Saccharomyces cerevisiae S288C: one gene and its partner. The protein of the gene in region 2 purifies or fractionates together with the protein of the main gene of each other region. This does not show direct contact. Each region holds a gene or a part of one and is shown on either strand. Other genes may lie near its edges. The genes, in order: HGH1 and EFT1.

Evidence for each region.
Region 1: the proteins of EFT1 (region 2) and HGH1 purify together in Saccharomyces cerevisiae (affinity purification with mass spectrometry; 3 studies listed by BioGRID, with this or other methods). This does not show direct contact.

What each region holds. Positions count from the first base shown.
Region 1 is NC_001139.9:869,409-873,210, forward strand, and holds HGH1 (Hgh1p), read right to left. Parts: upstream 2,009-3,802; coding exon 824-2,008; downstream 1-823. Other genes in the region: transcription factor IIF subunit TFG1, read left to right, coding at 1-573; protein kinase BUB1, read right to left, coding at 2,636-3,802.
Region 2 is NC_001147.6:573,544-578,449, reverse strand, and holds EFT1 (elongation factor 2), read right to left. Parts: upstream 3,353-4,906; coding exon 824-3,352; downstream 1-823. Other genes in the region: retromer subunit VPS17, read right to left, coding at 3,620-4,906. UniProt on the Saccharomyces cerevisiae protein: Catalyzes the GTP-dependent ribosomal translocation step during translation elongation.

The DNA of each region.
Region 1 (3,802 bases), on a different chromosome or scaffold from region 2:
GCACTATACTCATCGGATGAAAATGAGATCAACCCATACTTATCTGAATCCGATATTGAAAACAAAGAGAATGAATCGCCCGTTAAAAAGGAAGAAGATTCGGACACTCTATCCAAATCCAAGAGATCTTCTCCAAAGAAACAGCAAAAGAAAGCTACAAATGCGCATGTGCATAAAGAGCCAACTTTGAGGGTGAAAAGTATTAAAAACTGTGTCATTATCTTGAAGGGGGATAAGAAAATACTGAAAAGCTTCCCAGAGGGAGAATGGAATCCACAGACGACAAAAGCTGTAGATAGTAGTAATAATGCATCGAATACAGTGCCTTCGCCAATCAAACAAGAGGAAGGCTTGAATTCTACAGTGGCAGAAAGGGAAGAAACTCCAGCGCCTACAATAACAGAAAAAGATATCATCGAGGCTATTGGTGATGGCAAAGTCAATATCAAAGAGTTTGGAAAGTTCATCAGAAGAAAATATCCTGGCGCAGAGAATAAAAAGCTAATGTTTGCCATTGTAAAAAAATTGTGTCGAAAGGTTGGCAATGACCACATGGAATTAAAGAAAGAGTAGGTTAGTTTATAATGTTATGTACTTAATAGGTTATTTAGTTTTCGTTCTTTTCATTCTTTCCTTTTTCTTTCCATTTAATCTTATGTAGTTACATTATACTGTCATTTTAGTTGCAGTAAGTATACTTTTTTATCTAGTCTTTTTTTCTGCCTTTTTTTTGAGAAAAGACTCAGAATTCTACTAAACTCTAATATATTGTTATTTCTGTATTATACAATTCTATGCTATGTGAACTGTCCTTGAAAGTGACCTAGGCCACTTCGACAATTTCATCTTCTTCGTCGTCATCTTCTTCTTCTTCACTCTCCTCCTCTTCTTCCTCTTCCGCATTCTTTGATGGCATCTCTTCCACTGCTCCCGCACCTGGCTCGCCTCTCATTAACATATTAACAATTCTGTAACATAATTCACCAATATCTTCATTCTCAACGTTTTTATGCAGCTCCCTCACTAGTGGATAAACGGACTTGTCTCTTAAGTATTCTCTTCCAGCATGCGTTGTACATAGCAAAAGAATACTTTCTAAATGACAGCATATAATTGCAGGAATCGGGTCTCTTTCCTTGTCCTCTGGTAATAATTGAAGTTCATCTGGTAAATTGAACATATCTTCCTCATCAATTTCAGAATCTTTAGCACTAGCAATAGGTAGCAGGATGTAAGGCAACAAGTTTATTTTTTCATCTTTGAGTAACCTTTCATGAGTTTCAGAATCAAATAGGGAATTTTTAATTGTGGAAGCGACACCTTCTCTTCTTACCTTTGCATCATATTTTTCGGTAAATACTAGCAATTTTGAAATAGGAACAACCCCATCGTATTCCTGCTCTTCAATAAAATACATCCTGCCCAATTTAAACCTCGAGATATCCGCAAAAAAAAAGGCTAAATAATTGAAACTGGCATATTTTGTTAATTTTTTATCATAACCCTTAACAAAGCAATCCATTAAACAATCCATGGCTCTCAAACTTTTGAAAACTTCTTTATTTAAAGCTGCTAACTTCAAACCATCATCGACCTCCTCACCGCTTGAATTCCTTTTGATATTCAGAACAGCAAGAATGCCGTCATCCTTGGCTAAGTTGCTTAATAAGATACACATTATATCGGCATTTGGATTGGTTAAATCGACAATTTTCCAAACCAAAAATTTTAAGAACTTCTTGTCATCGCTCAATATAATATTTCTTACTAACTTGTCTTCAGATAAATTGACCAATATAGTGACACCTTGCTGAATAATAACACGGGTGCCGTGTTCTGGATCCATGATCATTTTTATTATATCCTTAATGGGTCTGTAGCTATCATTTTTGAAAACTTTTGAAGTGGGACCAGCACTAAATCCAACTAGATTATCAATGGCAATCTGTCTTACGGCAGGTTGTGGTGAATGCAGAAATTCCACTAATTCATTCAATTGTGAAGTCATCACTCAATTTTTTGTTGATTTTTTTGAGCTATTTTTAATTTTTAAATTAAATTGATACCGTTTTAAGAAGAATAAACTTGTCGTTATTAGAGTAGGTGCGTCATAAATTGATGGATGAGATGAGAGAGCTCAATATGAAAAAATGAAAAAAAAAAAAATTTGAAAAAGCCCTTCGAGGAAGAATAGGGAAAAATCTACAATAATAATTATCGTCTGGGGTGATAACAGAACACATCGAAAGGTAGCACTACCAGTAACATCCCAATTGGCTCTGCAGCTATTAGATGAAATATACTGCGAATTGCGAATCAAGACATCTATTTTTTATTCTTGTTAGTTTTCGCGGTAACAAGTGGAGCAATTGCTACATACTCGATGTATGAAGAGCTTCAGTAAAATAATATCATAACATTATCGCCATTTTTTTGGTACTTGTTTTTCCATAAGTGACAGATGTCAAGATTAAAAAAGAATATATTTACTCAACCTGAGAACCTGCTAGTTTTATATTACCTTTTATATATTAATGTTACAATTGGCTCTACCTGAAGTTGTGTTGTCATTGCTATGGAATCTGGCAGGACACCAAAAAGTCACCTATGCGGGAGATGAAGGCATATTTATTCACTAAAATCTCCTTGACGGTTTCCCCTTATATTGAAAATGTGATAACTCCTCTTCAATGCTTAGAATTACGTTTCTTAAGTGATTTTCTGCGTGCTGTTCCAGATGGCTTTCTATCAAATTCCTTATTTCAACAATCTTTTCAGTCATCGGCAAAGCTTGATTGGAAGCTTGACCGCTATTTAACAGTAAATCAAATATAACGCCCCATATTTCTTTTTTCCAATACCTTTTGAATGGGTTCTTCAATTTGCATCGTCCATTCTGCAGCTGGATTGTTTCTATGAATTTTCCAAAAAGCATCGAATGTATGACGCCTGCTAATCCATAATAATCCGCTTCATAACTCCATGGCTTGCCCGCACGCATTTCCCAGCAATCTTGCTGATCAGCCTTCCAATTTGATTTGAATTTCGTTCCAGGTGGTAACAGTGTCATATCAAATGATCTACCGAAATCTATTAAATAGATTCCCTTGTTTTCCCAGCCATCCTCTCCATTGCGCATATAATGAGCACCCAGGGGTTCGCCTGGTTTTTCTAATCTGATCATGCAGTTATCTGGTTTCAAATCGCCATGTATTATTCCCACTTCATGTATCTTTTCAAGTACTTTCATTAGCTCGACAGTGATAAACATGCACAAATATTCATCCATTATTCCGTTGCCGTCAATTGCCTTTTCCCGTTGTAAATTAATTAAATCCAAGACCGTACCTTGACTGGCGTAGTTTAAAACAAGGTAGCTCTCATCAAGGAACAAGTGTAAAGCACTAGCGTTGATTATTGACTTTAATATTGTGCTCTTCCTCAACCTAAACTCCACTTGGCTCATTATGTAATATTCCCATACACTTGCAGGTTTTTCTACTTTCAACGCTCGCAGATGTCCTTGACTAGATTCTGCTAGATATACAGTGGCATAACCTCCTTCGCCTAATTCTCCGCGTATACAATATAAATCACCCGTCTTCTTGAAGTCAACAATTGGGTTCTTGTTTTCGTTGCGGGATACCCTATGGATTTTTTTCAATAGAGAACTCATTTTCAATTCTTGGTTGTAGTTATAAAAGGTGTTATATTGGAATAATGGGGGCGAAATTTCGGATAAAAACTTCGCTCTTAAATTATTACTAAGTGGGTTTTCAATAATGACAGGCGGTTGATTTTT
Region 2 (4,906 bases):
CATGCTAAAACAAGAGTATCTAACAATGGGAACACAAAGCAAGTATTGATTTACTCATTCCAGTTGTGTAATTTTCTTCTAAAGATGTACTTAAATAAGAAGAAAACAATGATTGTCTTCGACCTCAACGCCTCGAACCAACGCTTTCCCCAATAGCGAGAGAAAGTAAGTAACCGGAAAATTAATTACCTCTTTCTTTCACCTGCAGGGGCTGAGGTGCTTCTGTTAGTGCGCCTCTAGAAGTATCGGCCATAATGAGATATATACTTTGGTTGCCCCTCCGGTTTTGAGGGAGTTTTAGCCCGATGAGGCTGGTCCTCCCCTCCAAGGATTTTTTGTATTTCCTATTTCGCTCTAATTATAGAAGCACCAACATACGGCGGGGTATAAACCAAACAATAGCCGCGGAAGCCCAATCTTCTTCTCCTTTTTTCGTAAACGGATAAAAAGCTATGACCAAGAGCCAGGTAAGTTATACGTAATACTACCTCAGGACCGATGTCATTAATGAATTATAATGGTTTTTAATAGTTTTTTCCATAGTATATCTAACGGGGTGGTGATACGTCGTAATAGTCAAGAAGTTGCCGTTCCTCCCCCTCTACAAAGGGGGCGGTAATACGAAAAGGTCCATTTTTATGATGGGTTCGATTGTAAACATTCGGAATATAACTATATGACAAAAATGTGTAAGAAAATAATATATAAGTCTATTACCATACTATTTTTATTACGACAAAATTTTAAAGCAGAGAATAAATGAAAAAGATCATAAGGCGGTAAGGTTTGCTCTTACAGAACCACCTTTTCTCATTTAGACTTCTTACAATTTGTCGTAATATTCTTGCCAGCCTGGAACTTCTTCCTTCATACCGTGTCTCTTACGAGCAGCAAGAACAATTTCACCAGCCTTAGAGGTTGGGTCCAATGGGTCAGAACCTAAAGTGGACCAATGGTCGAAAACCATTTGTGGGAAAGCTTGACCACCGGTAGCTTGTCTCAATTCACCAGTGAAACCGAAAGATTCGTTAACTGGCAAGTAGGCCTTGACGGTAAACAATGGAGTACCTGGTCTTTGTTCTTCAGAAACGACTTGACCTCTCTTCTTGTTTAAGACGGAGTAGATACCACCGACGGCTTGTTCTGGACATTGAATTTCGACCAAGAAAACTGGTTCTTGGATCTTTGGATCAGCCAACAAGAAACCGGCGTAAGTAGCTCTTCTCATGGTTGGGATGATTTGACCACCACCTCTGTGGATAGCATCGGCATGTAAAGTAACATCCAAAATGTTAACTCTGACAGATCTCATTTCTTCACCGAAAATTGGACCTTCCTTGGTAGCCCATTGGAAAGCAGCAACAACGGAATCCTTGATTTCGTGCAAGTATTGGACAGCCTTAGTTTGGTCAATAACCAAGTTTGGACCGTTACCGTCTGGACCGAAACACCAGATCTTTCTGGCATCGGTGACATCCCAACCGTAGTCGTCAGCCATGATTCTAGCTCTGGCCTTGAAATCATCTCTTGGGTTGATGATACCGTTTTCAATAGCCAAAGAGACTTCTTCGTCAATTGGTTCAGCCTTCAAGTAGATTCTGTTATGCTTGTTTGGAGACTTGGACAAAGCAGTTTGAGAAGATTCACTTTCAACAGTTTCTCTGTAAGCGACAACTGGTGGGGAGATCTTCAATGGAACACCAGCGTGGTCGTGTTCCAAATCTTGCAAACAAATTTCCAAATGCAATTCACCGGTACCAGCAACGATATGTTCACCGGATTCAGACATATAGGTCAAGACACATGGATCAGACTTGGACAATCTCTTCAAACCTTCGACCAATTTTGGTAAGTCGTTAGCGTTCTTGACTTCGACAGCGACTTGCACAACTGGAGAGACAGAGAATTTCATGACCTTCATGTTGTGAGCAGTTTCACTGGTGGTCAAAGTACCAGTCTTCAACAAGAATTGATCGATACCGACTAAACCGATAATGTTACCGGCTGGACAGTCATCGATTGGTTCGACAAATCTACCCATCATCAAAACAACTCTTTGAATGGCCTTGATGAACAAATCGTCCTTCTTACCTGGAACGTAGTTTGGACCTTGGATTCTGACCTTTTGACCGGACTTAACAGTACCGGCAAAAACTCTACCGAAGGCGTAGAATCTACCCTTATCAGAGGTTGGCACCATCTTGGAGACGTACAACATCAAATCAGCCTTTGGATCACAGTTCTTGATAGCAATACAGTTGGCATCGTCAGCTGGACCTTCGTATAATTGTTCAGCTCTGTAGGCTTGAGCAGTGACTGGAGATGGCAAGTGCAAGACAATCATTTCCAATAAGGCATCGGCAGCTGGCAAGAACTTTCTCATAACAACCTTCAACAAGGCCTTACCTTCCAAGTCCTTTTCGTCACCCTTCAAGACAATTTCCAACTTTTCTAGCAAAACTGGAATTTCGTCTTTCTTGAAGTTCATGATAGCAGTGAATAATCTGAAGATTGGGTCCAAGATGAACATGTTGAAAGCTCTTTCCAATGGCTTACCTTCAGCATCAGTGTCCTTGTTGGTCCACTTCTTGGTCTTTGGGTTGAAGAAAGAGTCACCCCATAATCTGTCCATCATCTTGGCCTTGTCGACACCGAATTTCTTAGCATATCTGGTGGCGAATTGACGGATAGTGAAAGCCCAACCGTGCAAACCGGAACCGAAGGCAACGGTACCTCTGGCTGGGTAAACTTGGACATCACCCAAAACTTCATCGGCGTAGGTGGAAACGATGACGTTAACGGATTCAACAGTTCTGGCAAAGGTTTGGTATAAATCTTCCTTAGAAACTTGCAATTCCAACAAAGCTCTGTCGACCTTGTTGATAACAACAACAGGCTTGATTCTTTCACCCAAAGCTTGTCTCAAAACAGTTTCGGTTTGGACACAGACACCTTCAATGGTGTCGACGACAACCAAAGCACCGTCAGTGACACGTAAAGCGGCAGTAACTTCAGAGGAGAAGTCAACGTGACCTGGAGAGTCGATCAAGTTGATCAAGAAGGAGTTACCGTCGGTCTTTTGCTTGATTTCCTTGACATCTTCGTCAGACATTTCAGAGTATAGAGAAATAGCGGTAGACTTGATAGTGATACCTCTTTCTTGTTCATCCTTTCTGGTATCGGTGAAACGAGCTTCACCAGCCTTAGCAGCGGAAATAATACCGGCTCTTTGGACCAAGGAATCGGTCAAAGTGGACTTACCATGATCGACGTGAGCAATAACGGACATGTTACGCACATTGGTAACTTTGTCCATTAAAGAACGCATTTGGTCAACAGTGAAAGCAACCATTTTTATCTGTTATTAAAAATTCTTGGGTGCGTAGGTCTGGCTTTCTGGCAAATGGGGTTAAGTAAAAAAACCAGTGAAGCGTTTAATACAACAGTAGTATGCAATTGAGATTAATTAAAGGAAGGCTCATGGCAAAAAAAAATTTTCTAGGTGAGATTTGAAAAAAAATTTTAAAAGTGCAACACGGAAGTTTACCCGGGATTAATATCAACTAAAGGAAAAAGATCACCTTGTTCAAAGGTATGAATTTTCTACTTTATATACGTATTATTTAGTGGACATGCCCAAAAGTGAAGCAGCATGGCGCGCATTCAGTGATGTAGTGTCTGAGTCCTGAGAGTTGTACCCATCGTCTTCAGTGAATAGTTCATCATCAAATTCGGTATGAGCGATCTTGTTGATGGGGATTTGACTTTTGCGGTTGCTCTCTCCCGTCCAACTGTCCCCTTTAAGGGTTTGAGAAGTATCGGAGTTGTTGTTTGAGACAGCATGGCGTCCTAGACGTGACAAACCTCCGTTTTCATCAGCTTTTCTGATATCAGAACGTACTCGTTCTAGTAACGTCAGCTTCTTTCTTTCATACTCTATCTTTCTTAGTGTAAATTCTTTGATCGAGCTTCTTATCCATTCTTCATACCAGCTAATCCACTGTTTTCTCTCGATAATCATGTTGGACGTGATTCGTTGAAGCTTAAGGGTCAAAACTTGTTCGTTTTTAGCTGCAGCTTTCAACTGACGTAGTGCTTCATCGATTTTCATAGGGTTAATATCTCTTCTTGACCGGAACCTGCGTGCTTGTTCCTGTTTCGCCTTTGAATTCTGCTGTGCCTGTACTAGATTTCGCATGATAAAATGCCTGTTGGTCAATGCTTCCTTCACGGCATAAGCATCTCTGACAATCCACTCTAAACCATCGTACAATGTCGCCATGTCCATGGTTGCTATAATGCTATCAATATCACCCACAGCAGTCAATATTTTACCGTATCTTCTGTAAAGTTTATTGTGCTCATCTAGATTAACGAAATCCTGGCCGAAGGCATTTTCTTCTTGAACCATCATCTTGCGATTTCTGGAAACTCTTAGCAGTTTTTCTTGCAAGCTCTGAGAAACAACATATATAGACTTGACTAATGGCCGGAATTCTGCTAATTCTGTGATTTCATCATATGGAGGTGCTAATTGTTTCAATGTTTTTCTTTTCAACCCAGATGCGAGTGATTTGGACTTGTTGATGGGTGTGTACGTATTAAAGTCACTTTCAATGAAAAAGGCCACTTCTTCATTCCGAATAATTAAGGGGTCTTGCGATAGCCTGTTAAACCAAAGTTGGAAATTTCGCGTTACTTTCATCCTATCTTCTTCGCTATTAATTCCGAATGTAGTATACGCAGAGGGAAGAGTAGGAACAAAAGATTCCTGAATGGCAACATTCAGATATTTGAACAATTGGTGGAATTCTTCGTATGATTTTTTGACATTCTTGTATTGTTGTTTGCGAAATGTTGGCAAATTTGTGGAGCAATCAAATATAATAGTCGGATTCTCTTTCTT